Mus musculus: one gene and its partners. The protein of the gene in region 6 interacts with the protein of the main gene of each other region in a pairwise test. Links are inferred from orthologs where the notes say so. Each region holds a gene or a part of one and is shown on either strand. Other genes may lie near its edges.

Region 1 (4,094 bases), on a different chromosome or scaffold from region 6:
TGGGGCTGTGGGGGCTTCTTGAGATCTGTGAACTCAGCCTGGGAAGGCTTTTTGAGACCTGTGAACTCTGGATGTAGAGGCTTCCTTGGGAATTCAGCCTGTACAGGCTTGTTGGCTAGATGAGGGAACTCAGGCTGTGGTGACTTTTTAAGAACTCCAGGCTGTGGGGGCTTCCTGGGGAGGTCTGCAAACTGCAGCTGCAGTGGTTTCAAAGACACTGCACTGAGCTCAGACTGTGAGGACTTCTTGGGCTGCTCACTTAACTCAGTCTGTGGAAATTTCTTCAGGACTTTGTTTAACTCAGGCTTTGGGGTTTTTCTGAACAGTTCTCCAAGTTCTGGCTGAGAGGTTTGGAACTTAGCTTGGAGGTTTCGGAAGTCCTGATTGCTCCCCTAAAAGACATGGGTCATTCAGGAAGGCTCTCATCACAAGGCGGCAGATGGAGAAACGGTTACAGTTGGTCACAGGCACACAAACCCATCACCCTCCTCTTCCCTTAGGTTCTCATTCTAACTTTGGTTCTTCCCCAATCTCAGCTTCTCTTTTTGGGTAAGAACTACTCCTGTCCCCAGGTTCCTGGAACCCACGCCCTCCAGACTCCTCCACCTAAGCTGTGTCTAACCTCTAACAGGACCTAACTACTTATTCCTTTCTACTAGCCCATGGCCCACGCTTCTGATCAACAATATCTTCAACCTTTGTGCTTTGTGCCACTGCTCCCCCTTGACCTCTCTTTGCCCTCTGCCTGATCACCGGTTCTCCCCAGTCCTTTTTTTTTTTTTTTTCCTGATTTCAAAATACATCCGGAATTCAACTACTTCTCACTGTCACCCCAAGTAGAGGAACTGCCCTCCACAGTCCAGATCACTGTAATGGGCTCCTCCTCCGTGGTCTGCTGCCCTAGAGGAGGCCTATAAAGTGTCTGCTCCCAATCTCTCAGCGAGTTCATCTCTGAGGAAAGCAAACAGTCCCTGAATGACTCAGCAGTGGTCCCCCCACCCCGCCTCTGTCCTGTCTGTAATGCATACCACTCAATGCATGGGTCTCTCCTCTTCCTCCTCTGTGTCTTTATGATAATGCTCCTTAAGGGTGACCTCGGAGATAACCCCATTTTAAATCAGTTTTCTCTTCCCAGTTGCCCACAGTCACCAACATTTTCTACTCTCTTTGTCTCCCATTACCTATGAAGTTTTTTATATTAGTTCTTATATTAGGGTTGTTTTGAGGATTTTTATTTTTGTGGTGTTAGGGATGGAACTTAGCACCTTGCTAAACAAGCTCTAGCAATGAACTATATCTTCCCAGTGATGAGGGTTTTTTGTCATCGTCCTCTCCTCCTCCTCTTCCTCCTCCTTTTTTTTAATTTGTTTTTTGAAGCAGGGTCTCATATATCCTGGGCTGGCCTCAAACTTGCTTTATAGTTGAGGATAACCTTCTGCCTCTGCCTCCCATGTGCTGAGATTACAGGTGTGTGCCACCATTAGTTTAGCTTGCTTGCTTGCTTTTCTTTTTCTCTTCTCTCTTCTCTCCTCTCCTCTTCTCTCTTCCTCTCCTCGCCCCCCTCTCTTTTTCTTTCCTTTCCCTTTCCCTTTTCCCTTTTTCCTTTTTCCTTTCCTTTCCTTTTTTTGTTTTTTGTTTATTTTAAGTCAGTTTCTCACTATGTAGCCCAGGCTGGGATTCAACAGTTCTACTGCTTCAGCCATCTGAGTGCTGGCATTACAGGTGTATACCACCATACCCATTTTGACTATAAATTGTTAAAATTTAGTTGGGGGGACTAGAGAGATTTCTCAGTAGGTAAAGTACTTGTCATGCAAGCCTGAGTTCTAGCTTCAGTACTCATACATAACAAAGTCAGGAGCAGTACCTGTCATCCTAGTTAGCTCTGGAGAGCTTAGGCCAGGAGGCCCTCTAGGGCTTGTTGGCTAGCCATTCTAACTAAGTTAACAAGCTCTACATACATCTATCTAAGATGTGGGTATTAGGTGTCATAGTCCCTGACATGTCTCATGAGGACCAGAAGGGAGGCTCCCCAAATGTACAGGCACTATATGATATGTTTAGAACATTTCTGGTGCTCTCAAGTCTGACCTGCTCTTTGCCATAGGTGCTGGTAGATATCCCCAGCCTATCTTCACCAAGGGTAAAAAAGATTGGAGGACAGAGAGGACAGAACCTTGTAAATCTATCTAGAGATGGACTCAGAAGGATCTCTGGGAAGGAAGCAATTCTTGCCTGGGGTCAGACATTTCTTTGTTGAAGCCCCAGTCTAAGTGAGTTGATGACCACAAGGGTAGATAAGGAAGGGTTTAGCAGAGCACAGCTTGGGTAACGGACTGGAGATGGGGACTGGTGTAGCAGGTGCGTGACCCATTTAATCACTTCACAGGAAACCTCTGCTTATATCCCAGCTGCTGACCTGGATTGAGGGTATATCATTCCAGGCAGACCCAACCAGCACCACACTGCCTTGCAGTCACAGATACAAAGCTGGTCCACAAGAGCTCAAGCTATTATGCCTTGGTTGTTTCTTATCTTTTCCTGTGCCATCTCATCCCCAAGACTGTTCTAGCTCTGTTCTGCTAGGTTACCCATGAGGGCATATTTACCAGTTCCCCAGTTTCTACTTGGGACCCTTGTTACCTGAATGAACTTCCAATGGGGGCTTGAGGACTCACCATGGCTTCAGGGGATGATGAACCACAGGGTGAATGAGCTCTGAGCTTAGGCTTCTGCCTTGAGGAAGTTAAGTGTGGTTTCTGCTCCACGGGCTGACACACCAAGTCGGAGCTGTTGGGCTGGGGAGGGCAGAGGAGGAAGGAGGCGGAGATAGCCTTTCTGTCCCCTCCTTGAGTTCCTGCCTGTCCACTACTGTCCCCAAAGTCAGGTCATTAGACCTAAGCACATCTATAAAGCACAAGTTTCCTAGCTCCTACTAGCCTCTTGATTCCCTATTGTCCCCCTTAGTTTTAACACTTTGGGGTCCTGACAAGCTTTGTCTCTGAAGAGGCAAGCTTAGGACAAACTCAGGACAGTCACAGCACCTTAGTGGGGATTTTATGGCTTTCTCTGGGTCTTAAGACGTCTCTAAAGAGGTAGACCTAGGATATGGCTGTTGCAATGGTGAGGACATATCTGTCCTCCTGTATTGCTTCATCTACCTTGTTTCACCATTTGTACTCTCAACAGGACTTCCCTGTTAAGGTGACAAATGCCCCATCAGCCAGGGCTATGCACCCAAAGCATCATCAACTGGGATAAGCAGACTTATGGGTGGGTGGCATTAAAAGATGTCTAAGTCCTGGGCTGAAGGGACATCACTGTTGCTGTGAAGGTATGGGGTTTTAGGACCTCTCAAGTTCACAGTGGTTAAAGGAAGCAGAGAGAGGAGAAACAAGAAAACTGGATTGCAGGAAAATGAAGCCCAAAGTGGGACAAAGGTAGATATAGGAAAGGAGAGCCCTGACACGTGATTCAGTCCACAGGAACAAAGAACACTCAGCAGGGTTCAGAGGTATGATTCTCAGTTTGGGAACAGAATAGAATTCTTTGAGCTGTTAAAAAAATATCTTCCAGAGATTCTGATGTCACCAGTCTGGGATGTGGTCCAAGGAGGAGGACTACTTACACCCTAGCAGGATGGTTCTGGTGTATAGATGAGTGTACATGTGTCTATGTCCCTGGAGTCACAAAGTACATGCTCTAAGCAACTGGCGTAGTGGTGCATACTTGTAATCCCAGCAGAAGCAGGAAGTTCACTACATTTCCAAGGTTAGCCTAATCTACATAGTGAATTTCAGGCCAGCCAGCACTACATAATGAGACCCTGACTCAGAAACGTAACCAAAAAAGTACATGTTCTACCCAGGTATAGTGGCACACATCCGTAATCCTCGCATGTGGGAGAAGAGGATATTAAGTGCATGACCATCCCCCGGCTGGAAAGTTGAGACCCTGTGAAGGAAGATAACATAAACTAAATCCAAAGTTTGTAGCTCTGTTGGTAGTGTACTTATATAGCATGTACAAAGCCTTAAATCTGATTTCTAGAATCTCATAAAACAGCACTTGGGAGTTAAAAGCAGGAGGATTGG
Region 2 (4,225 bases), on a different chromosome or scaffold from region 6:
GTAACCCTGTCTCACCATACACCACTCCACTCCAGGGCTTAGGAGGCCTGTTCTGAGAATCATGTCCCTTCTCCTCCCACAAATCACTTTCTTAGGATACTACCAGAAAAGTTTTATATACAAACTCCTGGGGGCCGATGAGATGGCTCAGCGGGTAAGAGCACTGACTGCTCTCCCAAAGGTCCTGAGTTCAAATCCCAGCAACCACATGGTGGCTCATAACCACTTGTAAGGAGATCTGACCCCCTCTTCTGGTGCATCTGAAGTCAGCTACAGTGTACTTATGTATAATAATAAATAAATCTTTGGACCAGAGTATGCAGGGACTGAGCGAGCAGGGCTGACCAGAGCGAGCAGGGTTGACCTGAATGAGCAGAGGGTCCTAAAAGTTCAATTCCCAACAACCACATGAAGGCTCACAACCATCTGTACAGCTACAATGTACTCACATACATAAAATAAATCAATAAATCATTTTTAGAAAGCCCCCTTTTCTGCAATAGAATGCACCCTAAGTAATTTACGTTTCATTAGCCAGTATTTACTCAAAATAATTGCTTTTTATTTTACTATGAAGTTTTACATTTTAGCTAATACATAAAATATAAAAAGTCTACATATAAAGGGGCACTATTTGATGTTTCAATTCATATATACATGGTATCATGTTTAAATCAGGTTAAACATACCTGTGTCCTCAAACATTCACTATAATCAAATTTTAACATTAGTTTTAGCCCAACATAATTAAAAGGAAACAGCGAATGGCAGTTTTATTATGCATTTGAATGTCAAAGAAAATGCTTTAACTCATTTTGTTGTTGTTTTCTACTGTCTTTAACATGGTAGACAATTGTGAGGTAAACCAGAACACCCATCCAACCAAGACAATGACTCTGTCTTGAATTTCCACTGAAGGGCTCAGAGCCCTGACCCTGTCCCGGAAGCGTCTGGCTCCCAGCCCCCTCGTCCTTCTTCCCAACAGGCTAGGAGGGAATGTGCCCCTCCCTCACCTTTATAGTTGTGCCCGTGGCCATTCGGATTGTTGCATTTCCCAAACACTCTTAAGTTCTCTTCATCGCTCAGAGATGGGCTGACAGGAGAAAGATAGAGGTCAGCCCGAAGTTCAGACGTCCAGAAAACTCTACAATTTCATGTCACTGTAGATGATCAACTGGTTAGATCGCTTGCATATCATGATCCCCGTTTCTATCAAGAACCAACACTCCACTCTCTAATTAAACTAGATTACCACATAAATCATCCAAGACCTTCATCTCAACCCACTTAGTCCACAGTAAGATGTCAACAACTCTGCCCATAGTCAGCACTGTCTCTCCTGCCCTCTCTCTGTCGAGGTCTCCTCTATCCCTGGCTGGCCTCAAACTCACTAGGTAACTTAGCACGACTTCCAACTTCTGACCCTCTTGCCTCCACCTCCCAAGTCCTGAGATCTATGTAAGCAGGCACTGTGTAGTCAAGCACTCTACCTACTGTGCTACATCCCGGCTCCACCTTCCAATTCAACAAGCCCTGAGTATTAGCTATGGGATAAGAGATGAAGCAAGGAGCAGTGATAAGCACGAAGACATACATATCCTCCAGCGGCTTAAAAACGTCATTCCTCCTGACAAATAATGACCTCAGGCTCTTCTTTTCACAATCTTGCCCTCCTCTGCCTCAGCAGTTGCCTAGTGGAAACCTTACCAATGTGTTCCAGGACACTCAAGTCAGGTGAAACTTTAAACTTACTACACATGGCTGTCATTCCAGACAGAAAACAATTAGCTTAATGAATCTGTATCAGTCAACTTATCTGTGCATCCTTACTAACCTTGTGTGTAAGCTTCCTATTATAAAAATCCCTTTTGAGAGGCCGGAAGGATGGCTTAGCAGTTAAGAGTGCTTACTGCTACTGCAGAAGACCAGGGTTCAGGTCCCAGCCCACCCACGTGACAGCTCAGAAGCCTGTAACTCCAGTTTCAAGGAATCCTCTTTTGGCTTCCACAGACTCTTTCGTGCAAGCTGTGCACACAGCACACAAGCACACACAAACACAACTTTTTATTTAAATTCTTTAAACTCTTTCTTATCCCCTTCACTCTCTCCTACTGCGCACTTAGAGCAGTACAGCTCACAAGACTTTTGAAGAAAATTCTCACTGTACCCAACTTGACCACACGGAGGGGTGGGGGTAGAGGGATGACAAGTGTCAGCTGTTCCCTATGACAACCCTGTTGTTAGAAAAGGCCGTTCTCTGATGATGACATGCAGATCCAAAGAGCAAACCTTCAAGTGAGTAACGAAGCTCCCTTTGAAACCAACTCTCAGGTGCGGTCTTGTTTCTCTGGGATTCAATTCCCGACTGTGTTGCTCCTTTGGAAAGTATCAAGGCTGGTTTTACTTTTTTGGTAAAAGGGGGATGAAAACTACCTTGGGTTGCACCCGGTAGCCCATGCTCCTGTCATTGTACCTCTGGATGTGGGCAACCTCTGGAGGGAAACTCTCCAGAGTGGATCCTCCGGGATCGGAGCTATACCGCCCTCTCCCGGGTGAGTGCCGGTAGTGCAGCTCCGCACCTTCACCATTTCCTCTTCGGCCCGCCCCAGCTCGGCTCTAACCCACGCGCGTGGCCACGCCCCCCAGGGACATAGCGGGACAAGACCCGCGCGTGCGGTGACACACGTGGGCACACCCCACCTGTGCAGCCGGTGGCTCGCGCTGAAGGACACGAGGCGCGACAGTCGCGCGCGGCGACGAAGGTCACCCGCCGCGCTCATGGTCTTCGGACCGAAGACTCACAAGCTAGCGGTTCCGGCTTCCGGGACCGAGGCCAGTCCCGCCCCCGCGGCTGCGCAGTGCAAACTCGGCCCTCCCTGCCGAAAGCACTCCTGGGAGTGGTTTCGACTCGCGGCACCCTTCGGCCGACTTGGAGGCAAACACTAGCGCCCCCTGCTGTTCAGTCTTCGCTAGGCAGTCAGAAATACCTGGGGCCAGTGGGTGGGTGAGAAGCCAGAGGCCTGGATTTTTAAATTGCCAGGTTAGTTTGTGTCTTCTTCTTTCGCTTCATTTTTGACAGTCCTGGGTTTGACAAATCCAATGTCTGGGTGCCCTTATCAGATGTTCTCCAGCCCGGTACCACATTGAAAGTGTCCTTAACCAAAAAGAAACCCCAGCTAAGGATGGCAATGCACTGTCATTAGAGTTACCCTGCAGGCTGAAGCTGGGGCATTGATTTTAGGAGTCCCGATCTGTTCTAGGCAACATAGTAAAACACTAGCTTAAGTGGAAAATAAAGGAAAATTTTGACATCTCAATATCCAAGTGAGAGAATGTCATACAAAGAGACTTCCTCAAACCAGAGACAGCCAGAAAACAGATTCACCGTTCAGAGCCCTCAGAAGGAATACGCTGTTCCTGGTTTTAGATTCCTGGCTTTCAGAGTTTTTGAAATGGAAAGGTATTCCAGTGTAATCCCAACCGCTCTTGTGCAACATTTGCTGGTTCTGTGTTTAGATATTTGTCTCAGAAGGTTAGCTTCTATTAAATGTTGTCAGTCAGAGATGGCATATATCAGTGATCCCAGCACTGAGGCTGAAGCAGGAGGGTGACAAGCTCAAGGTCCGTCTCAAAAGGATAAAATCCTATACATAATTCAAATGGACACCTTTGGCAAGGCAGCCCCCACATCACCCATCCATTAATTAAATTTTAAAAACTAAATTAAAAAAAATGTTTACCCAAGTATCTTTGGCTGTCCTGGAACTTGGTCTGTAGACCAGACTGGCTTGGAACTCACCTGCCTCTGCCCCTCTGCCTCACAAATGCTCGGATTAAGGGCCTGCATTACCACCACAGTTAAGACCTTAATCCCAGATGCTTTAAGTATTAGACACATGTACTTCAGAACAACAAAATGGTCCCTGTTATCTGAAAATTCAGTTTAATGGGGGCAGTCCAACAAATAATATGTCAAGTGAAAAATTACCATTTCTGTGTCAGAGAGTAAAAGAAAGCTTCCAAGAGCAAATTAGTCTGAGATGGGTTTTAAGGAGTCCAACAGATGGGTAAATAGAAAATCCCAAGAGGAAAGAGTTTAAGCAAAGGAAATGTGGAAACGTAGCTTGCTTAATGCACAGTGACAAATTCTTGGCTACCTTGGGGTGCATGCAAAACGGAGGAGAGTGTATTGGAAATATTGACTGAAGACCAAGTAGTGGAAGAA
Region 3 (3,500 bases), on a different chromosome or scaffold from region 6:
AGGGAGCCGAGCTCCAGTGAAGGGTGAGCTGGGGCCAGGGACTCAGGCTCCCTGCTGACCCGGTCCACTCTGCACTCCACTCCCAGTGGCCTCTGCACCACTCCCACTGGAGTATGAGACAGAGAAGGGACCCCAACCATCAGTTGCTCACACTGTAGGACAAGGACACAACTCTAGCAGGCACTTTGCTGCTCTTGTATGGTTTGACTCTGATTTGCTGAGTCAGATAAAGCAGCCCAACAGCTAATCCTTGTTAAACCCGCTGCCCCTGTCCACACAAAGTGACCAGAAGGGACCGGTCATCACCTTGTCTTCTTGGCTGGCCTCTCTGGTGTCTGGGAGCGGGAGGAAGCTGGACTGGAGAAGGGAGAAGATGTGGGACCACTCCTCTTCCACAGCTGCAAGTCAAGCAGAGAGACAATCTGAAACTACTACTGACAATATGGCTATGTAGGCAGATATTCTGACCTGGCCAGGCAGGAAGGCACACACCTTTAATCCCAGCACTAAGGAGGCAGAGGTGGATAGATTTCTGTGAGTTCAAGGCCAGCCTGCTCTACATAGTGAGCTCCAGAACAGCCAGGGTTACTGAGAGACTGTCTCAAAAAACTAAAAGAAAAAAAAAAATCAAGAAACACAGCAAAACTAAACCTTTCTGAGAGACTGGAGAGATGGCTCAGTGGTTAAGAAACACTTGCTGCTCTTGAAGAAGACCCATGTTTGGTTCCCAGCATCCACACCAGACTGCTCACAAATACTGTAACCCTGTTCCTAGGATGATGGATGCTTTCTGGCCTCACACAGGCTCAAATAAATAAAAATATCTTTCTTTTCTTTTTTTAAGACCATATCTTACTGCATAGCCCTGGCTGCAATTTACTATGTAGGCCAGGCTGGTCTTGTTAGAGTATTCCACCACATACTGCAAAATAATAAATCTTAAAAAAAGAAATAAAAGGACTGGAGAGATGGCTCAGCAGTTAAGAGCACTGGCTGCTCTTCCAGAGGTCCTGAGTTCAATTCCCAGCAACCACATGGTGGCTCACAACCATCTATAATGGGATCAGATGCCCTTTTCTGGGGTGTCTGACAGCTGCAGTGTACTCATATACATAAAAATAATAAATATCTTAAAAAAGAAATAAAGAGGTAATTCTTGTATTCATTACATATTCTAACAAAAATCATCTATAGTAAAAAGTACAGCCTCTATTTTTACAGATTCTGATATTCCATGAATATGAGTATTAGATACAAACTGGGCATGGTGGTGCAAGCTGAACACCTAGTGCTTGGAGGCTGAGGCAGGAGGATCACTACTAGTTAAAACCCAGCCTGAGCTGCATGCACAATAGCCAGGGATACATGAGACCTTGTCTCAAAAGGCAAAAGCAAACACCAAGGGCGACTGATCTACCTGCAGGAGCCTGTGCACCTCCTAGTGTCAATACCAATACTGGAGCCCAAGTGTGCCTGACAGTGGAGCTGCCTGGCTTCCCCACCTATGGGCTCTAACGAACTCTAAACAAGAATGACATCTACTTCATGAATCAAAGCTTACACTAAATCCTACTTGCCTATAAATCTCCTTTATACACCATTGCATACACTAGCAAGCGTTTGCTGAAAGGACCCTGATATAGCTGTCTCTTGTGAGTCTAGGCCGGGGCCTAGCAAACACATAAGTGGATGCTCACAGTCAGCTATTGGATGGATCACAGGGCCCCCAATGGAGGAGCTAGAGAAAGTACCCAAGGAGCTAAAGAGATCTGCAACCCTGCAGGTGCAACAACATTATGAACTAACCAGTACCCCGGAGCTCTTGTCTCTAGCTACATATATATCAAAAGATGGCCTAGTTGGTCATTACTGGAAAGAGAGGCCCATTGGACACGCAAACTTTATATGCCCCAGTACAGAGGAACGCCAGGGCCAAAAAGTGGGATTGGGTGGGTAGGGGAGGGGGGGGGGAATGGGGGACTTTTGGGCTAGCATTGGAAATGTAATTGAGGAAAATACGTAATAAAAAAAAAAAAAGAAAGTTTAAAATAAAGAAATAAATCTCCTTTACATTCCAAAGGGAACAAAACCTTTCTAAATCAGTACCATTTACTGCACTGGTCCATCTGCAGGTTGCTCCATCTGGACCAGGTTTGCTTTCTGTTCAGTCCCACTGATCTCGTTAATTTGCTTTGTATTCCAGTTAGCCTAGAGACAGGTTCAGTGCAAAGCAACAGAGGGTGAGCTGCATCCTCTGCTCCCGGCCCTGAGACATACCTGTGAGATGCCACGGGTGGAGCTGTAGGAGCTGGTGATGGCATTGCGGCTAGAACTGGGGATGCCTCCTGTGCACGCACTAGCCAGGGAGCTCACAGAGGAGGTGCGAGACCGTTTGTTCAAGTGGTCATCTGAGCTCTGGGAAGCCAGACTTCTCTTCAGGGAGCCAGGCCTAAGAGAAAGGAAGAAGTGTACATGCGCTACTGCAGGCGTATTCTGCTATTTCCACCATGGTGCCTCACCTTTCTGAATAAACCTGAAAGACCACCACAATGTTCCTCAAGGCCACTGTCAGCAGATGACATGGCTGCCTATGTCTGACAAAGTGACTGGGTAAAAGCACAGCACGGGAAACACAACAGGAAGGGTTACACCTTGACTGTGGTGTCATGGGGACAAAAACGTAATGTCTGTCAATGATCCCTCAATAAAGCTGCTAAGAGAAAAATCATTAAGCCTCTAACTGAAAGAGAAATCTCCCATAATCCTTTCTGTCAATGTGTGTTACCTAGCCCTACTACAGTATGGTCCTCTTACCATTTCCCAGGCAAGTGCATCAACCACAAACCAGTTCGCTGACAACTGCAGCAGAGGCAGCCAATGTTCCCCTCCTTCCACTAGCACACCATCATCTTGGCTCGCTCCCAGATGCCTGTGCCTCCTCTAGGCTGGAGCCTCCAAAGCCAGCCCCTGTCAGGCTTTCCTACCTCAGCAGTCCACACTGTGTATGCATGTCTCCCACGGTGCAACACAGTGAGCTGAGTGCAAGGCTTGACAGAGCCTTTTTACCACACTGGAACTTATGCACCTTCTATGCAAACTTCCTCTCATACACTCCATATCAACACTTCCTGCCCTGCAGAAGCCTGTGGTCCATTTGTGAAGGGTCAACTGCACCATGTTAGTGAAGCAGAGTGAGACAGAGCAAGCACGAGACACTGGCTGACTGCTTTAGTTAGTGGTTTACTTAAAGCACTGCTTACGGCCCATATCTAAGCATCACTTCACTTACTACTTGGAACAGAATACCTGGAAAATTACCAGTTTGTTGCTCTTAACAACCTGACCACAAGAGCTTACACCTGTCATCTATAATACACCTTTAAAACAAGCTGACTGCTCATACGCATCTGTAAAATCGCACTTGCTTATTCGTCCCACCTCATAGTTTAGATGAATAGAAGATGAGAATATGAACGGGCCCAGGACCAATCAAGATCTTT
Region 4 (3,500 bases), on a different chromosome or scaffold from region 6:
CCTCAACAGTGTCAGCCATTTGCTGACGAGCGTCCTGTGAACACGGCCTGGCTACACCAGCCTCATGCTGCAAAGAAAGCATTGCTCTGGGTGCGGCTCGCCAGCGCGTCCAGATAAATGTGCTCCTGCCCTGCCCTTGAGTGTGCAGAGGTCACAGGACTCCAACCACCTGAGCCCACTGAGGTGCCACCCAGGGCAGTCCTGACCCTCGCTTCCTCAGAAAGAGCAATTTGGTGGCACCAGTCTCTTGGGGTGCGGTGGGGTGGGGTGGGGTGCAAGTGAGCACATTAGGCCTGGGAGGAGATCAGAACGGACAGGAATTCTGACTATAATAACCCAGTCCACCTTCTGGGCAGGCCTCGCCTCTTATGAGGGCAGTGCCCAGTGATGGTCTTTCAAATGCTACTGTGTTTCTGGAGGGGCTTCACACCTGGGGGAGAAGGAAGAAGTGTTATGCTCGTAGGAATGTTCTAGAAACCTGCAAGGACAAAGTTAAACTGAACACTTCTCTAGCACCCTCTTGTCAGTCAGCAGCTGGTCACATCACTAGTGCAAATGGTCAGGGGTGTCGCACGTAACCAGCAGGGTCTAAAGAGAACACTGGTCAGGGGTGCAGCGTCCCGAGAGACTTTCAAGAATGTTCTCCCTGCTCTAGACACTCTGAAATAGGAAAAGAATCACCAAAATGAAAACAAAGTAAATGTAATTAAAAAAAAAAATCAACATACAAGAAAACACTTAAGGGGCTGGAGAGATGGCTCAGCGGTTAAGAGCACCGACGGTTCTTCCAAAGGTCCTGAGTTCAAATCCCAGCAACCACATGGTGGCTCACAACCAGCCATAATGACATCTGACGCCCTCTACTGGTGTGTTTAAAGACACCTACAATGTACTTACACATAAATAATAAATAAATCTTAAAAAACACTTAATAATTATCTTCCCTCTGTGTGTGTGTGTGTGAGGTATATATACATGTGTCAGTGTATGTGTGTATGCGTGTGTGTGTGTGTGTGTGTGTGTGTGTGTCTGCACGTGTGTAGGCCAGAGATTGATGCAGGTGTCCCTTCATATAGTTTTTGAGAAAGGGTCCCATCACTTCTTTTAGCCTGGCTAGCTGGCAAGCCCCCAAGATCTCATGGTCCCTAATGCTGGTATTATGTACACATACAACTCACTGAGTGCTCTGATGTGGGTGCTGGGAGTAGAACTCAGGTCTTCATGCCTGCAGGGAAAGCACTTTACAAACTGAACTATCTCCCAACCCATAAAATACTCTTCAAGAGTATGGCTCTCTGGGCTGAGAAGATGGCTCAGCAGTTAAGAGCCCTGGCTGCTTATTCCAGAAGTCCTGAGTTCAGGTCCTAGCAACCACGGCTTACAGCCACCTGTAATGCGATCTGATTCCCTCTTCTGGTGTGCATGAAGATAGAGCAGTCATAAGTAAATAAATAACTCTTTTAAAAAAGAAAGAAAGAGAGTATGGCTCTTTGCTGTCTGCGATAAACTGGCCCTAAGCCTGCCACAGTGCTCCAATCACCTACAGTCTCACCATGGGGGAGGGGACAAGTCTTGTTGCTTCTCACTATAGTTTGAGGTAGCACAGTGGTTTTAGGTTTGCAGAAAAACCATAAAGCAATAATCCTTCATCACTATTTATAGGGAGAAAACACTATTTCTGCAATAAAACAAAAACAAAAACAAAAACAGAAAGCAAAAAAAAAAAAAAAAAAAAACAAGAAAAGTTTAAAAGAATTCAAGAATCTGTTGATGCCAAAGAGGTTCAAACCAGTTAAATTTAATTCTACAATATCCACAGTGCCGGGTCTGTGAAGTTCACAGTGTAACACCTTAGGTGCAGGAGGGGACACCCCACGGGTTTCTAAAGCAACATAGTTCGTTAGCCAACCAGAGGATAGGGAGCCAGCCCCACACAGCCCTGCGCACCCCTCTGACCCCACAGTGTTCAGGCTTCCAACACCAGGATGGGGAGGGCCCTGCTTTAGGTACTTATTCCCCTCTGAGTTAAGGCCCAGCAGTAGCATACAAACCCAGGCAGAGCGGCCACTAAGTCCCCTGAGACACCTGACCTCTCTGTCCACTGGTGTCATTCCCATCTCACTTCCCACTGCAAAAGTAACAGTGCTCAGAAGGTTCCTACGGAGGGAGGGATGCTCGCACTGAGGAGCTTTAAGTGTTTCCCCGTATCTGAAGGCAGCGTACTCAGAGAACTACAAAATAGAAAAGTCATAACAATCAAAACCCGTATTTAAAAAGTCATAAGGGCATGTCACCTCAGCTCCCACGGGAGCAGACAGGACCCTCTATCCCAGGTCACGGTTTCCCAACAACCAGAGTCGTCCTTTCAAGGACTCCTTTCTAATTTCCCTGTTTTCCTCTTAGCAAAGGACAATGGGAGTCACGGTCCATCCTAGTGACTCCCGTGGATCCTTCAGGGCCTCTCTACTGCCACCCTCCACCCCTCAGAGGACACCACCCCACTTTACTTGCACCAGAAGGATGTCTGCCACCCGCAACATGAGGACTCTGTCACTGTCCCAGGCACCTTCATTCCAACCAAGCCCCGCCCAGCATGTGTGAGGACTCTGGGTGGGACCCTGCCACTAACCTGTGCCGGTTTTTATTCTTCCGTTTTTTGTGGCTGCTGTGGTGGCTTCCTGAGGAGGTGGAAGAGGCGGCTTTCTGAGGTTTCACTCCCTGGACGGAGCCGTCTAGGTCCTCGGGGTCCTCCTGCGCAGGCTCGTTTTCCTGATTGTGGAAGTCTGGAGAAGTATCGCTTTCCGTCCCACTTCCTGGTTCCCCTAGAGGAACGAAAACAGGTCCCAAAAGCCAGATCAGGACTCCTCAAGTCCCCACGGGCCATGGAACAAAGAAGACGGGGAACAGGCACTCAAAGTATCAAAGCTAGGAAACCCCTGAAATCCACGTGGTCTGCAGCAGTGCGGGGGACAAGCCTGACCACAACTCAGAGCACTAAGGGCCATTTCAATATGGAGCACACTGAAGAGAGGAAGGGTTACGCCTTGGCAGAACTGACAAACGGTCAGAGAATCCTGCCTTTCAGTGAAGAGTTGGTGGAGGATGAGCTGGAGAAATGACTCTGAGATTAAAAGCAGGCACTGCTCTTACAGAGGACCCGAGCCTAACTCCCAGAACTCATGTCATAAGGCTCACCCACTGGAACTGCAGCGGCAGGAGATCCGACACCTCTGGCCTCCTTGGGTACCTGCACCCACATGCACACGCACACACACACACACATACACACACACACACACCCCACACCCTGCCCTGCCCGACACATACAGACCATTTAAAAAAATAAATTTAAAAAGCAAAAAGAAGGTGGTACCCAGTGGGGAGCAGCGTCCAGTCCATCCGTTGATTACTGCCGTCTTGGATCTTTTTTTTTTTTGGAGGGAAGATAGAGATTGTCTCATGGGAACTTGGGCCGTGAACTTCCTAGGTCTCAGAGGATA
Region 5 (3,354 bases), on a different chromosome or scaffold from region 6:
TTCTGATTTGGGTAAAAGATTTTCAAATAACATATTTTTGAACAATAATGCTTAAATGAGCTTTCCCCGTATTTATTTCTATGTTTCATGCTATACATTTCTTACACTTATCTTCAGAAGGGACACTGTAGAAGCCTATGAAGGGACAAGGGGGACACTTAAATGCAGGGATAGAGAAGCTGGAGAGCGCCCTCAGCTGGATGCCACACCAGGCATCGCACAACTGCCTGGAGCTGCAGGTTCAGGAGATCAGACATCTTGTGGCCTCATGGTCACCTGCATGCATAAAATCATGTGGGCACACATATAATCTTTTAAAATAATCTTTTTAAACATGGCTTAGTGACATAACATATACAGCCATCTGTGGCTCACTGCACACATGTGCATAGACACAGCATGGAGGCAAAGCACCCATACATGTAAAACCTTAGAAAACAGACTAGACCTGTGAGGAGGGGTGGTCTCCTTGTCTAACAAGCAGTACTCCTTAGCATTGTTTCTCGTGTGCTCCGACGGAGAAGAAGGCCCTCACTCAGCTGCAGGAGGCTGAAGCAGCAGAGCCTCTCTAGTATCTGGTCAGATTTCTTAGAAGCATATAAGCAAGCTTTAGTTTCAGTAGATAGCACATCAAATAAATGATAGGATATCATTGATCTAAACGACTGGAACTTGTTCACAAAAAAAACAAAAAACAAAAAAAAACGGTTCTAAACAAGAAAAAATGACGTTTGATTCTCTTGAAACTTCAGATCCTTTTAATAAGCTAATGAATGTTTGGATTCTTTGCCAGTAAAAAATAAAAAAAATATATAATTTTAGGCGGACTGAAGATAGAGTGTAACTCAGTTGGTAAAATGCTTATTTAGCATGTAAGAAACCCAGGACTCAATACCCACTACCACATAGAACCAGAAGTGGGTATCACAGTTTGGGAAAGTAAAACAGGAGGACTATTGTAAATTCAAAGTGAGCCTGGGCTACAGAGTAAGGCCCTCTGTATGTCAAGGCTGTTAGAGAATTTGAAGTGTGTATATGCACGTTTGGTGTTGGTGTTTGATACTGCAGTTTATTGAGCCTGGAGCCTCAAGCATGCTAAGCACTTGGACTGCGGGTGCTATACTGCAGAAATCCCAGCTCCTAGAGACTATAATTTAGGAAGTATCCACAAAATCTCTAATTACTATTAAATGAGTCTACCAGCACCACTTAAGGACAACTCAACATGAGGGTAGCTGTTTAGTTGGTGAAATTCTTTTTTTTTTTTTTTTTTTTTTTTTTTTTTACTGAATCTAAGCAGTAATAGCAGAAGGGAGCTATGAACCAGCCATTTCCTCACTGACCTCATGACATTTCTTATATAACAGATCTCAAAGATCATCAGGCCTGTTCTGCCTAGCTTGTTTTGTTTTTATTGTATGTGTGTACAGATGCATGTACCAATTGCAAGAGTTGATTCTCTCCTACCGTATGGGTTCCACAGGTCACACAGGTCACCAGGTTTGACAGCAAACACCCCTTATCCACTGCAGTCTCACCTGCCCCGCACTGTTTTGTTATAAAGGACCTGACCATCTTATACTTTCCTTAGGGGATGGCATACCTACTGTATTTGTCTCTGTGGCGGGCAGAAGCAATGGTCTAGGCCCAGTGCTGTCTGGCAATACTGCATATCCGGTTATCAGCTGTCCCCCGATCACACCAGACTGGGGCGCTCAGGATGTGTGGTCATCTCTTCGACTGCCCAGTGGTAAGACCTTGAAAATTTTTAGTGCTGTGTGTGCCCAAAATTTCAAGGTACAATCTCAATGTCTGACTATATATTTTAACTACAGCCTACTATTTTAAATCAGATCTTATGTTTTTAAATTATTTTATACTTAGATGCTTAAGTACGCATCTCTAAGAAATAAGATTTGGGTTTATTATCATCTTTTTTAATTTTTAAGCTGCCAACTCATTTTTCTGTCTTTTTCTTTTCTGATCCAATAGGTATTGGCTGTTCAACTATACTTTCTCCAGAAGGATCAGCTCAGTTTGCTGCTCAGATATTTGGGTTAAACAATCATTTGGTGTGGGCCAAACTTCGAGCGAGCATATTAAACACGTGGATATCCTTAAAGCAGGCTGATAAGAAGGTCAGACAATGCAATTTGTAAAGAAGCAATTTAATTTTTAGGAGAAAAGTTACGTAGTCCTAGTTTGGATTTAAAGAAAAAAGTCAAGCAAAATGATTTCACATAAGAGAAAACAATTTAGTTACTAATGAACAAATGTTACTCAGTGTTTATGAGTTGGCACATTGTCAGTGGATATTACTAATATTTCTAGCTCTACAAAGTGATATGTCCCTGTAACCTTAGCACTCCAGAGGCTGAGGCAGCAGCAGGACCTCTTAAGTTCAGGGCCACCCTGAGCTGTGTATTGAGACTCAACTTGCCGTGGAGGGAATCTTTCTAGCTAGTAAAATTGGCATGACACTACTAAATTTATTCTCACGCTCTGTATAGTCACTGTTGGGTAAATATGTAACTATGGAACTGGAACAATGTGTCTGCTGTCTGAACCACTATGAAGAACCAGTGTGGCTCTCTTGCAGACGACCTGAATTTGCTTCCCAGCATCTCTGTAGACTGTTTCACAATAAATACCCTTTAAATCAGGGGATCTGACCCCATGGCTTCCTCATGCACCTGCTTTCAAATACTATTACATTCCCCCACCCAACACACACAATTTTAAAAAGTAAACTTTTTAAAAAGAGTAATAGCATTTTTTGTTGTTGTTAATCAGTAGATAATGCTTGAACTGAGTTGATACATTGAAAATTAAAATACTTGTGTATAACAATATATTCTCGCTGTGTGGTCTATACATTCTAAGTCATTATCTAAGTTGATGGATGTATTTGTGCTTTGTTGGGGTTTGTTTTTACAGTGTTGAGGAGACCTTGCCCATGCTTTAACCCTGGTTTTTTTGTTTTCAAAAGGTTGAGATTAGAGGTAGAAGAAAGGTGCTCGCCAGGTCTCTTTCCTGAGGTCTTTGGGCAGTAGGGCAGTCGTACGTGGGATAAAGCCATTCCAGGGAAGGATGGAGTAAACACTGCTTAGCTAGGATTGGTAGGTGCCTCTCTGGTAAGACATTTGCCACACCTGCAGTCACCATCCTGCCACCATTTTAAGAAATTGAGTCTCTAGTTTGTAATCATAGTTAAGGAGTGGGTGAGTGTGATGGGCTGATTGGTTTGCTAGTGTATATCCGAACAATGGGCCAGATTCGCTTCTGTAGGAGCCGATGTTTTGGGGAATCCAAATTCTGTGTTTCATAAAGAGCTATAGATCTGACAGTGTTTCC
Region 6 (4,043 bases):
GACACAACCTGTAGTTTGAACACTGATCCTATTTTATTTTGTTAAGTATTTATTTAATGTATATGAGTACACTATTGCTGTTTTCAAATACACCAGAATAGGGTACCAGTTCCCATTATAGATGATTGTGAGCCACCATGGGGTTGCTGGGAATTTAACTCAATACCTCTGGAAGAGTAGTCAGTGCTCTTAACCACTGAGCCATCTCTCCACCTCACACCCCTTATTTTTACAAAAAAAAAAAAAAAATCTGTTATACGTGTGGGTGACCACGAGTGATGTTATATGTATGATGTTCAGGAGACAACTTGCAGGAGGATATCTCCTTCCATTTTGTGGTCTAGGAATACAATTCCCGTTAAGCTTCGTATTCGAGCCATCTCTCTCTCTCTCTTTTGTTACTCCATGACAGTTTTTCCTGTATTGAATCCCCTCAGAATTTATGCATCAAGTTATGTGGCATTTTGTTTTTCATACGGCACTAAATTTACTAGAATACTAGTCAACTTAGGGCAAGCATGGTAATGACATGGCTGTAATTTTTGCACTTGGGAGGTGGAGGTTGGAGGACCTATTCAAGGTCATTCCCCCACTACCTAGTTAGTTCATGGTCAGCCTAGGACACAAGAGACCCTGTCTCACAAAACTTAAAAAAAAAAAAAAAAAAAAAAAAAAAAAAAGTCTACTTAAGCCAACAACAGTGACTCTTGATTCTCCTATGGATGCAGAGAGTCAACACATGCGCATGGACACCAAAGCCCAGCGCCTGCGCACTGGGCAGTTTTTGCCTTTTGGTTCCCCCCCCCCCCCCCTTTTTGGAGTGTGCGCACCAAGAAAGACAAAGGTGGTGAAAGTGACCAAGCAGTCATTCGGGCGCATGCCCATCCCTAAATTGCCCAGGCTCCATGGGGCTCACTTTGTGGAGGCGGAAGTCCAATCCGATGCAGCGAGCGCGGCCCCCCTCTCCCTTTGATTGGTTTGCTTCCAGTGTTGTGGGGCGGGGAAAGGAAGGGACAGGGACAGTGGAAGGTTGGAGTGGTACAGAGAGCGTTCGCCTCGTTCTGCGCAAGCGCAGAGAGGCGACCAGGAGGGGGCGTGAGAGAGTGCAAGAGAATGTGGAAGCCCTGACGCGCTGGCGAGCGGGAGCTGGGTCGCTAGCCTAGACGCCTGCGCCTTGGCCCTCCGGCTCCGCGCGCGGCGGGCGGGTGCCCTGTGCGCCTGCGCAGTAGGCGGCGGCAGCAGGGGGAGGTGGAGGCCGTGGAGCGGCAGCGGCGGGTCCCGGGACCGAGGCAGCAGCGGGGGCGCCGGCGGGCGGAAGCTGAGGTGACGAAGGCGGCGGCGGCGGCGGCGGCCGTTTCCCTCACGGTGGCGGAGACCAAGGCAGCGGCGGCGGCGGCGGACGGGGAGCGGCCCGGCCCCGGCCCCCTGCTCGTCGGCTGTAGCAGGGCCGCCGTGGGGCCGGCCCGGCTCCCGCCCCCCGCGGCTCCCCCTCCGGCTCCTCCTCCAGGGAGACGCCGGGGACCCGGCCCGGCCCGCACTCAGGGCTCTGTTTCAGCTGCTGCCGGGCCAGTCGGAGGTGGTGGCGGCGCCATGGGCGGCCTGGCCTCTGGGGGGGATGTGGAGCCGGGACTGCCCGTCGAGGTGCGGGGCTCCAACGGGGCCTTCTACAAGGTGAGACGGCGCGTCGACCCGGGCCACCCTCCTTAGCCCCCTCCCCCAGCCGAGGCAGGGAAGAGTGGAGCGGGATCGAGTTTCTGGAGCTTGGTCTTGACCCTTAGAACCTTCGACCCACGTTCCCACTCGAAACCCTCCCGTGGCGATCGTGGGAGTTAACCCTCGTGCTTTTATTTTGAGCTCGCTGTTACACCTGCTTTTATCAGCTGAAAACATGGCCATCAGGTCATTCCTGTGCGGGGATGGGAGCCCCGGGTCCCTTTGGAGAAAGCCCTTTTCCTAGCTTCTAATCGACTTTTCTTGTTTTTTTTTTTTTTTTTTTTTTTTTTTTTTTTTTTTTTTTTTAGTGTAGGCGATACTTCAGCTTTTAATCACATCACCCCTGCAGCCCAAGCACATGGAGGATTCGCATTCTTTTCCTACATGACCCCCTTGGGAAGGTCCACTGTCCCACATTAGGTCTTCAGGGAGCCTTCTGCCTACTGGCTCTAGACCATTTGCTCAACTTTTGGTCTTAAATTCCTGTTCCCAGGCTGACAAGAAATGGTCAAAACCCATCTGTGTTATTTAGCATTAGCATCTTTGGCCTCAGGTTTTTATCAGCCAGCCATAAAGTGGATTTGTTGGACAAGTTTGTCACCCACCACACCTATATTCCAAAATCACCTATGAGGGATGGATTCACGCTTATCTCTTTGACTCTAGATATATTTAGGTCATTCCTCTATCTTCTTGGTAAGTTTAAGCTTCACTGTCTCTCAAAGGCCATCTCAACAAGTTCTTATTCTAACAGATTTCTGCTTGTTGACAATCCTTCTGGAAAGAAAAAAAGTATCTTTCAGAATTGCTTCTTTAATCAGCTTTTTCTTTGCCTAAGATTTGATTCCTGTGAACTTTTTTAAGGGGTGTGGTTGGGACAAGATCCCCTCCCTGGCTGCACTTGAACTCTTCCTCAGCCTAGGATTACAGCTCTGGCGTTACTGGTTGAGCCACCATGCCAGACCAGACTTTTGTTTTTTCCTTCTTTCTATCCACCACCCACCCCATCTTCTGTATCTGTCCTGAGTCTATTCTGGATCCCACGCCCCAGATATTTTCTTCTTCTGATCAGTGGGGTTCTGAACATCTTTTGACTTTTATGAGTGGAATTGTCCCGGACACGTTTGGTCCCTCTCTTACTCTTCATCCTGGAGAGAAAGAGGAATTTCCATAGCATGAGATGGGTGAGAAGAGCCCCTTTTTCTTCAGGTTTCCTCAGGTTGTCTGTCCCCCTACCCTAGTAGAACTTCTACTTTCTTATGCCCTTGGAAATAACTTTCTCTGACTCTACTATGAAATTGTATCTTTTTTGTAGCTGAAAAAAGACTTAGGTTTGCCCTACCCCTGTAGATGGTTCCTACCCTCACTTCAACTGATATGCTAGTTATCCATTATAAAGGCCAGGCCATTTTTTTCCCTTTTCTGATCAAGTTCTTTACCCAGTGCCTATGGGTGCACATACCTATTAGCTTTAATGCAGCTTCTCAACTAAGTCTCGGTCTTTTTAGCTTGGTATTTCTGTATTCCTGTGTATCCTTGATGATGTCTACCTGTCTAGTCTGTGTATAGCTGAAGAAGGCTCCTAGCTGATTCTGTCACTTTCCTAACTCTTGGTACTTTTTCTTCAGACCAGAACAGTGTCTCTAACATTTCTGTTTTCTGTAGCAAAAGTCTTTAATTCTTTTGGCTTCTGAGAGGACACATTAATGTTTTAATATCTATTTCACCCACATTTGTATTACCTTTGTTAAAACAGTCTCCTCAGGCTGGGTATGGTGGTACATACTCTAACCCTAGTACTTAGAAGGCTAAAGTAGGATTGTTGAAGTTCAAAACCAGCATGGGGAATGGAATCCAGTCTAAAACAACCCAAACAAACCCAAAAAGTACTCTTTATTATGCTCTCTTTTCCTCGATATGTTAGTCTTCATCTGTATCCTTCTAACATCAAAATGTTAAAAATTCCAAAAAAGCTGTGTGTAGGTGTGTGTGTGTATATACATACATACACACACACACACCTACACACACACCCACCCCCGTTCGATTTCTGGGTACAGGATTTCTCTATGTAGCCGTGGCTGCCCTGAACTCAAACTCTGTGGGATAGGTCTGCCTTTGTTGAGTGCTGGGATTAAAAGCATCCACAACTACTCTTAGTTTGAAAAGTGGTTCTTAAATTGAGTATGAGATCAAGATAAGATATTTGCATTTGGTTTAAGGAAGCTCAGGAGCCATGCACAGCTGGGACAGATGAGTGCTCAGTTCCAATTAACTGTATGACATGGTTGGGCTGGGACATGAATTCTGTTACACATATGGGTATCCAA
Region 7 (4,296 bases), on a different chromosome or scaffold from region 6:
AGAACACTACCAAGAATATAAAATTAATATCAAAATCAGTCAAAACTTTAGAGGGAGAAGCTTCCACCTGTACATTTGACTGAGTATAAGGGAATCACTATAAACTTTGCTAGACACAATTCAAGTGGAAACAAGTCAATTGTACTTATTTTGCAATAATAATTTATTAAAAATTATGTCATATTTTCTACAAAGTAAAGATGCATGTTTCATGAGCTCAAATACAAATTTAAAGAGCTGTAAGAATAAAAAACCAAGACATGTGCTGATGGATTACTTTCATATTCAATAATAAATGCAGTTATCTTAGTAATCTTATCGTCAAATCTTAACTTAGTGTAAGTTTACCTATGTCAGTATAGCCTATGTAAAATTTCATATTTCTTTATGTTTGCCAAATGTGGACTTAGATGCCCCTGGTCTTAGGCAGTAGGTTTCTGTATCCACTATTTATACAGTAGAGTGCTTAACATAGGAACCTGAGATCTCTTTGGTTCCATGGACAATTCATGTCTTGTTTTTTTATTTTTACAGTTCATTATTCTTGCCACAGTCAACTATAGAGCTCTTGGCAGATTTATGTTTGGGGAATAAGCAGGCAAACCTTAAACCAAAGCAAAGCATCACCCTTTCTAGAGAAAATAATTATAGGAAAGAAATCTTAATATTTGGATCATATTCTCATGTCAGTATGGAAGCTTTCAAAGGCAACTGGAGACACTTGATCTTTTATGGAAACCAAACAGTAAGGTGACAAATTAACTTAAAAATGGCCCCCAAATAATCCAATTATTCATTCAGCAAATTCCCCAGTAACATATGGATTCTATGAATTTTTATCCCATAATCCTTGGGACAGTAATCAGGCGTTCAAATTTTTCTATTAACACACTATTAACACTGACTACTCAGTCATGTATGTTCAGTAGAAACACATTAGTTGCATTTGAAGGAAAAATGCTTTTTAACAATTCAGTTTTACACTTTCTATCGAAAAGCGCTAATAATTCAATGATATTTAAGGTGAACTTAGACATATTACAATTTACATCTTAAAAGTCCCTTTAATTTGTTGCGAAAGGACACATTCCGCAGGGGCAACTTTATAAGTGTGGATGGCTTTCATCCTTAATCACGCATCTCAAAATACATATTACTAAAATAGCATTTAATTAATTTTTTAAAAAATCTTATATTTGACACTTGTTAAAGGACCCTTTACTGTTACAAAAACTTCATTTTCTCTACACATTTTTGGCAAGTGGCATAAGTTAAGTTTAATCATTTTTCCATTTGAACCTTTGAGATAAATTTATATAATTAAAAAACTCAGTATGCAAAATTTAGATATTTTATAATTCAAATAATTTATCAATGTAAATTATTTTGCAATTTCTAAGCATAATATTTGAGAAGATTTTTCTCATCTTGACATTAGAAATATAAATGAATAAATCTTTAAGTTCCAAATCCACGCCAAAAAGTTCTCTAACTTTTAAACTATTTAAAGATCTGAGATGTTACTACTGAAATATTAATAAGGAAAGTGCTTAAGACTTTGTAAGAATTTTTTTCCTAATTGCTTATCAAGCAACTGAGTTTAATTTTTTTTAACTTTTCGAAGTCCAGTAACACCAAACAGAATGTACAACTCAAGTAGTTTGCCAGTCAGAATAAACTTACTAAGGTTTTCCAACTAAGGATTTTAAAAATAATCCTCACAAATCAGGTAAATGTCCTATTCTCACTGGTGGTACCACTGCCCTTGACATAAATGTGTGCTGTGTCCATTTCAAGCACTATAACCAGTCCCCAAACAAATTAGGAAACATGTTTGACACAAAACTCTTCTAAAAGCAGGCAAACATACTTTTGTTCCTTATTTAAACATTGCCTCATTTACATCACGACTATCTAGTAAAGTGTAACCTAGTTTTTAAAATCCAGGTTTACTGTGACATTTTCTGTAAAGAGCAATTAGCTAAGCTACACGACAGTCGTAATGTAGTTAGAAGTGGCCACACATAACTCATCCAACAATTCACACTAAAATTTAGGTATACTACAAATGAAATTGTGGAAATCCTTATATATCCCTCCCCGTTTAAAAGAGTAAGAGATGCAATAAATGGCAAGAGAAACAAAAAACAGAAAAACAAACAAATAAACAAAAAACCCCAGAGTAAATCACCCCCCAAGGAGTGGGGATGGCGCTAGGAAAAGTTTCAGGCCATATTAACCAGTGAGTTTCTGCGATAAATACACTGGAGGCAAAAGGACCGTGATCGCCAGGAACCTCCTTCACCCTCATCACCTTTTAGGCATCTTTTGGGCAAGCTTTCGTCGCCAGGACCCCAGTTTTCTCCAGACCTTGGCCATCAAGCGTGCCGCTGGCATCTCCCGGTCCCAGGAGCTGGGCCCAGGGTCTTCCGGGTGTCACAGCCCGGCCACGGCACACCAGCGGCACACACCGTGCCAGCGGGGCTCCGCGACCCCCGCCTCCGAGAGAACTAAGGGGACAAGGACCGGGATGCTCTCCCTCCCCACCCACCCCTTCCCCGCCGCACCCCCACTTACCTGTCTTGTCAGGGTGTGCAAGGAGCGAAAGACTTCGCAGAGGACCTCGCGGGTGAGGAGGGGGCTGGAGCATTGCTCCAGGCTCCTCTCGCTGCCGCTTGAGGAACTAAGCTCCGCAGCAGCAGCCATGACACCTTCAAAGCAGCCCCCCAACCACCGCGAACAGCGCTCACCCCACCCCTCCCTCGCGGACTTCGTCGCACTGAGATGACGTAAAACTAGAGCGTCTCACTTAGAGCTTGAGGATAGGCCCCACCCTCTGTGTGTGACAGACACACAGGAAGACCAATCAAGAGCAAGGATAGCTGTGCTCCGAGGGAACTTGTGTATGTGAAGCTGGACCTTCTGTCTGGTGGTGTTTTCTGTGGTCCACCTTGGTTTAGAAACCTACTTGGCTCTTAGATGCTCCCTGTGAATGTTGGCAGAGCCTTACTCTTAAGTGTTAGAATTTGAGTCCCGCTATTAAAATTTAAAATGTTAACAGTCGAGTTGTCTTGGAAAAAGATTGCGGGTTAGTGATGGAGCAGTGCTTTACAATTTTCTAATTACTAGAAACTTGACCCAGGATGATCGTTACTGGATAGAACATTTTCATCTCTATAAGACTGTTTGATATGAGGAATTTAAAAAGAACACAAGGGCTACATTATGCTTCTTTTTCCTACCATAGAACGACATTGATGACTACACCTGCAAAATAGTTTATGTCAAAGTTCTGACATGCAACGGGTTCTCAGTGCAATCACTGGACACTTGACCTTAAAATTGTTTCAATATAAATCCAATAGAAATATAAACCAGCCGGGCAGTGGTGGCGCACGCCTTTAATCCTAGCACTTGGGAGGCAGAGGCAGGCGGATTTCGAGGCCAGCCTTGTCTACAGAGTGAGTTCCAGGACAGCCAGGGCTACACAGAGAAACCCTGCCTCAAAACAAAACAACAAGAAAGAAAAGGAAGAAAGAAAGAAAGAAAGAAAGAAAGAAAGAAAGAAAGAAAGAAAGAAAGAAAGAAAGAAGGAAAGAAAGAAAGAAAAGACCAATTTATTCCATGTAACCACACTCTTTAAAATTAGGATATAAAACTAAATCGACTCTTGTTGGGTATTATTAGATAGCTTTATTTTAGCGAAAAAAGTTATAATTTTATAATGTAGAGTTCTATTAATTTTTTTTTCCTTTGAGACAGGGTTTCTCTGTATAACCCTGGCTGTCCTGGAACTCACTCTGTAGACCAAGCTGGCCTCAAACTCAGAAATCTGCCTGCCTCTGCCTCCCGGATGCTGGGATTAAAGGCATGCTCCACCATGCCTGGCTCTATTAAATTTTTAAAACAAGCTTAAAAGATAAAGGACAAAAGAATTAAAACTCTGGCGGCAGTGGCTCAGGCCTTTAATCCCAAAGCACTAGGGAGGTAGAGGCAGGTAAATCCCTTATGAGGCCAGCCTGGTCTACAAAGTGAGTTCCAGGACAGCAAGGGCTACACAAAGAAACCAAAGCTCGAAAAGCAAGCAGGCAAGCAAGCAAGCAAACAAACGATTTAAAACTCTTCTTCATGATAGTTGAGTGCATTTAACATACAGGAAGTGGAAGTATGAAGTTAATGGGTAGTCTATCCTTAGAGAGCAGACTGAATAAAGGAAGAAATAAGGAATTAAGGGACACTAGGATAAGGAGAGTAAAAATGAAAGAACTCCTTTTACCTGTCTAAGGAGCCTTTTAC

The links.
Region 1: the proteins of Fxr2 (region 6) and Pram1 interact in binary tests that used the Homo sapiens proteins (3 or more experiments, as listed by UniProt). The two-hybrid records come from large-scale screens. The link is inferred for Mus musculus from reciprocal best matches to the Homo sapiens genes FXR2 and PRAM1.
Region 2: the proteins of Fxr2 (region 6) and Pts interact in binary tests that used the Homo sapiens proteins (3 or more experiments, as listed by UniProt). The two-hybrid records come from large-scale screens. The link is inferred for Mus musculus from reciprocal best matches to the Homo sapiens genes FXR2 and PTS.
Region 3: the proteins of Fxr2 (region 6) and Pom121 interact in binary tests that used the Homo sapiens proteins (3 or more experiments, as listed by UniProt). The two-hybrid records come from large-scale screens. The link is inferred for Mus musculus from reciprocal best matches to the Homo sapiens genes FXR2 and POM121.
Region 4: the proteins of Fxr2 (region 6) and Meaf6 interact in binary tests that used the Homo sapiens proteins (3 or more experiments, as listed by UniProt). The two-hybrid records come from large-scale screens. The link is inferred for Mus musculus from reciprocal best matches to the Homo sapiens genes FXR2 and MEAF6.
Region 5: the proteins of Fxr2 (region 6) and Paics interact in binary tests that used the Homo sapiens proteins (3 or more experiments, as listed by UniProt). The link is inferred for Mus musculus from reciprocal best matches to the Homo sapiens genes FXR2 and PAICS.
Region 7: the proteins of Fxr2 (region 6) and Mbip interact in binary tests that used the Homo sapiens proteins (3 or more experiments, as listed by UniProt). The two-hybrid records come from large-scale screens. The link is inferred for Mus musculus from reciprocal best matches to the Homo sapiens genes FXR2 and MBIP.

The regions. Positions count from the first base shown.
Region 1 is NC_000083.6:33,636,762-33,640,855, reverse strand, and holds the start of Pram1 (PML-RARA-regulated adapter molecule 1), read right to left. Parts: upstream 2,801-4,094; 5' UTR 2,682-2,800; coding exon 2,679-2,681; exon of another isoform or gene 2,644-2,678; intron 393-2,643; coding exon 1-392. UniProt on the Homo sapiens protein: May be involved in myeloid differentiation. May be involved in integrin signaling in neutrophils. Binds to PtdIns(4)P.
Region 2 is NC_000075.6:50,525,857-50,530,081, forward strand, and holds the start of Pts (6-pyruvoyl tetrahydrobiopterin synthase), read right to left. Parts: upstream 2,801-4,225; 5' UTR 2,781-2,800; coding exon 2,701-2,780; exon of another isoform or gene 2,474-2,700; intron 2,377-2,473; exon of another isoform or gene 2,290-2,376; intron 1,161-2,289; exon of another isoform or gene 1,094-1,160; coding exon 1,014-1,093; intron 1-1,013. UniProt on the Homo sapiens protein: Involved in the biosynthesis of tetrahydrobiopterin, an essential cofactor of aromatic amino acid hydroxylases. Catalyzes the transformation of 7,8-dihydroneopterin triphosphate into 6-pyruvoyl tetrahydropterin.
Region 3 is NC_000071.6:135,384,547-135,388,046, forward strand, and holds part of Pom121 (nuclear envelope pore membrane protein POM 121), read right to left. Parts: intron 2,450-3,500; coding exon 2,278-2,449; intron 399-2,277; coding exon 307-398; intron 1-306. UniProt on the Homo sapiens protein: Essential component of the nuclear pore complex (NPC). The repeat-containing domain may be involved in anchoring components of the pore complex to the pore membrane. When overexpressed in cells induces the formation of cytoplasmic annulate lamellae (AL).
Region 4 is NC_000070.6:125,102,161-125,105,660, reverse strand, and holds part of Meaf6 (chromatin modification-related protein MEAF6), read right to left. Parts: intron 2,823-3,500; coding exon 2,630-2,822; intron 2,232-2,629; exon of another isoform or gene 1-2,231.
Region 5 is NC_000071.6:76,964,656-76,968,009, forward strand, and holds the end of Paics (multifunctional protein ADE2), read left to right. Parts: intron 1-1,591; coding exon 1,592-1,750; intron 1,751-1,992; coding exon 1,993-2,159; 3' UTR 2,160-2,854; downstream 2,855-3,354. UniProt on the Homo sapiens protein: Bifunctional phosphoribosylaminoimidazole carboxylase and phosphoribosylaminoimidazole succinocarboxamide synthetase catalyzing two reactions of the de novo purine biosynthetic pathway.
Region 6 is NC_000077.6:69,631,728-69,635,770, forward strand, and holds the start of Fxr2 (fragile X mental retardation syndrome-related protein 2), read left to right. Parts: upstream 1-1,243; 5' UTR 1,244-1,590; coding exon 1,591-1,671; intron 1,672-3,672; exon of another isoform or gene 3,673-3,792; intron 3,793-4,043. UniProt on the Homo sapiens protein: mRNA-binding protein that acts as a regulator of mRNAs translation and/or stability, and which is required for adult hippocampal neurogenesis. Specifically binds to AU-rich elements (AREs) in the 3'-UTR of target mRNAs.
Region 7 is NC_000078.6:56,343,095-56,347,390, forward strand, and holds the start of Mbip (MAP3K12-binding inhibitory protein 1), read right to left. Parts: upstream 2,801-4,296; 5' UTR 2,707-2,800; coding exon 2,578-2,706; intron 1-2,577. UniProt on the Homo sapiens protein: Inhibits the MAP3K12 activity to induce the activation of the JNK/SAPK pathway. Component of the ATAC complex, a complex with histone acetyltransferase activity on histones H3 and H4.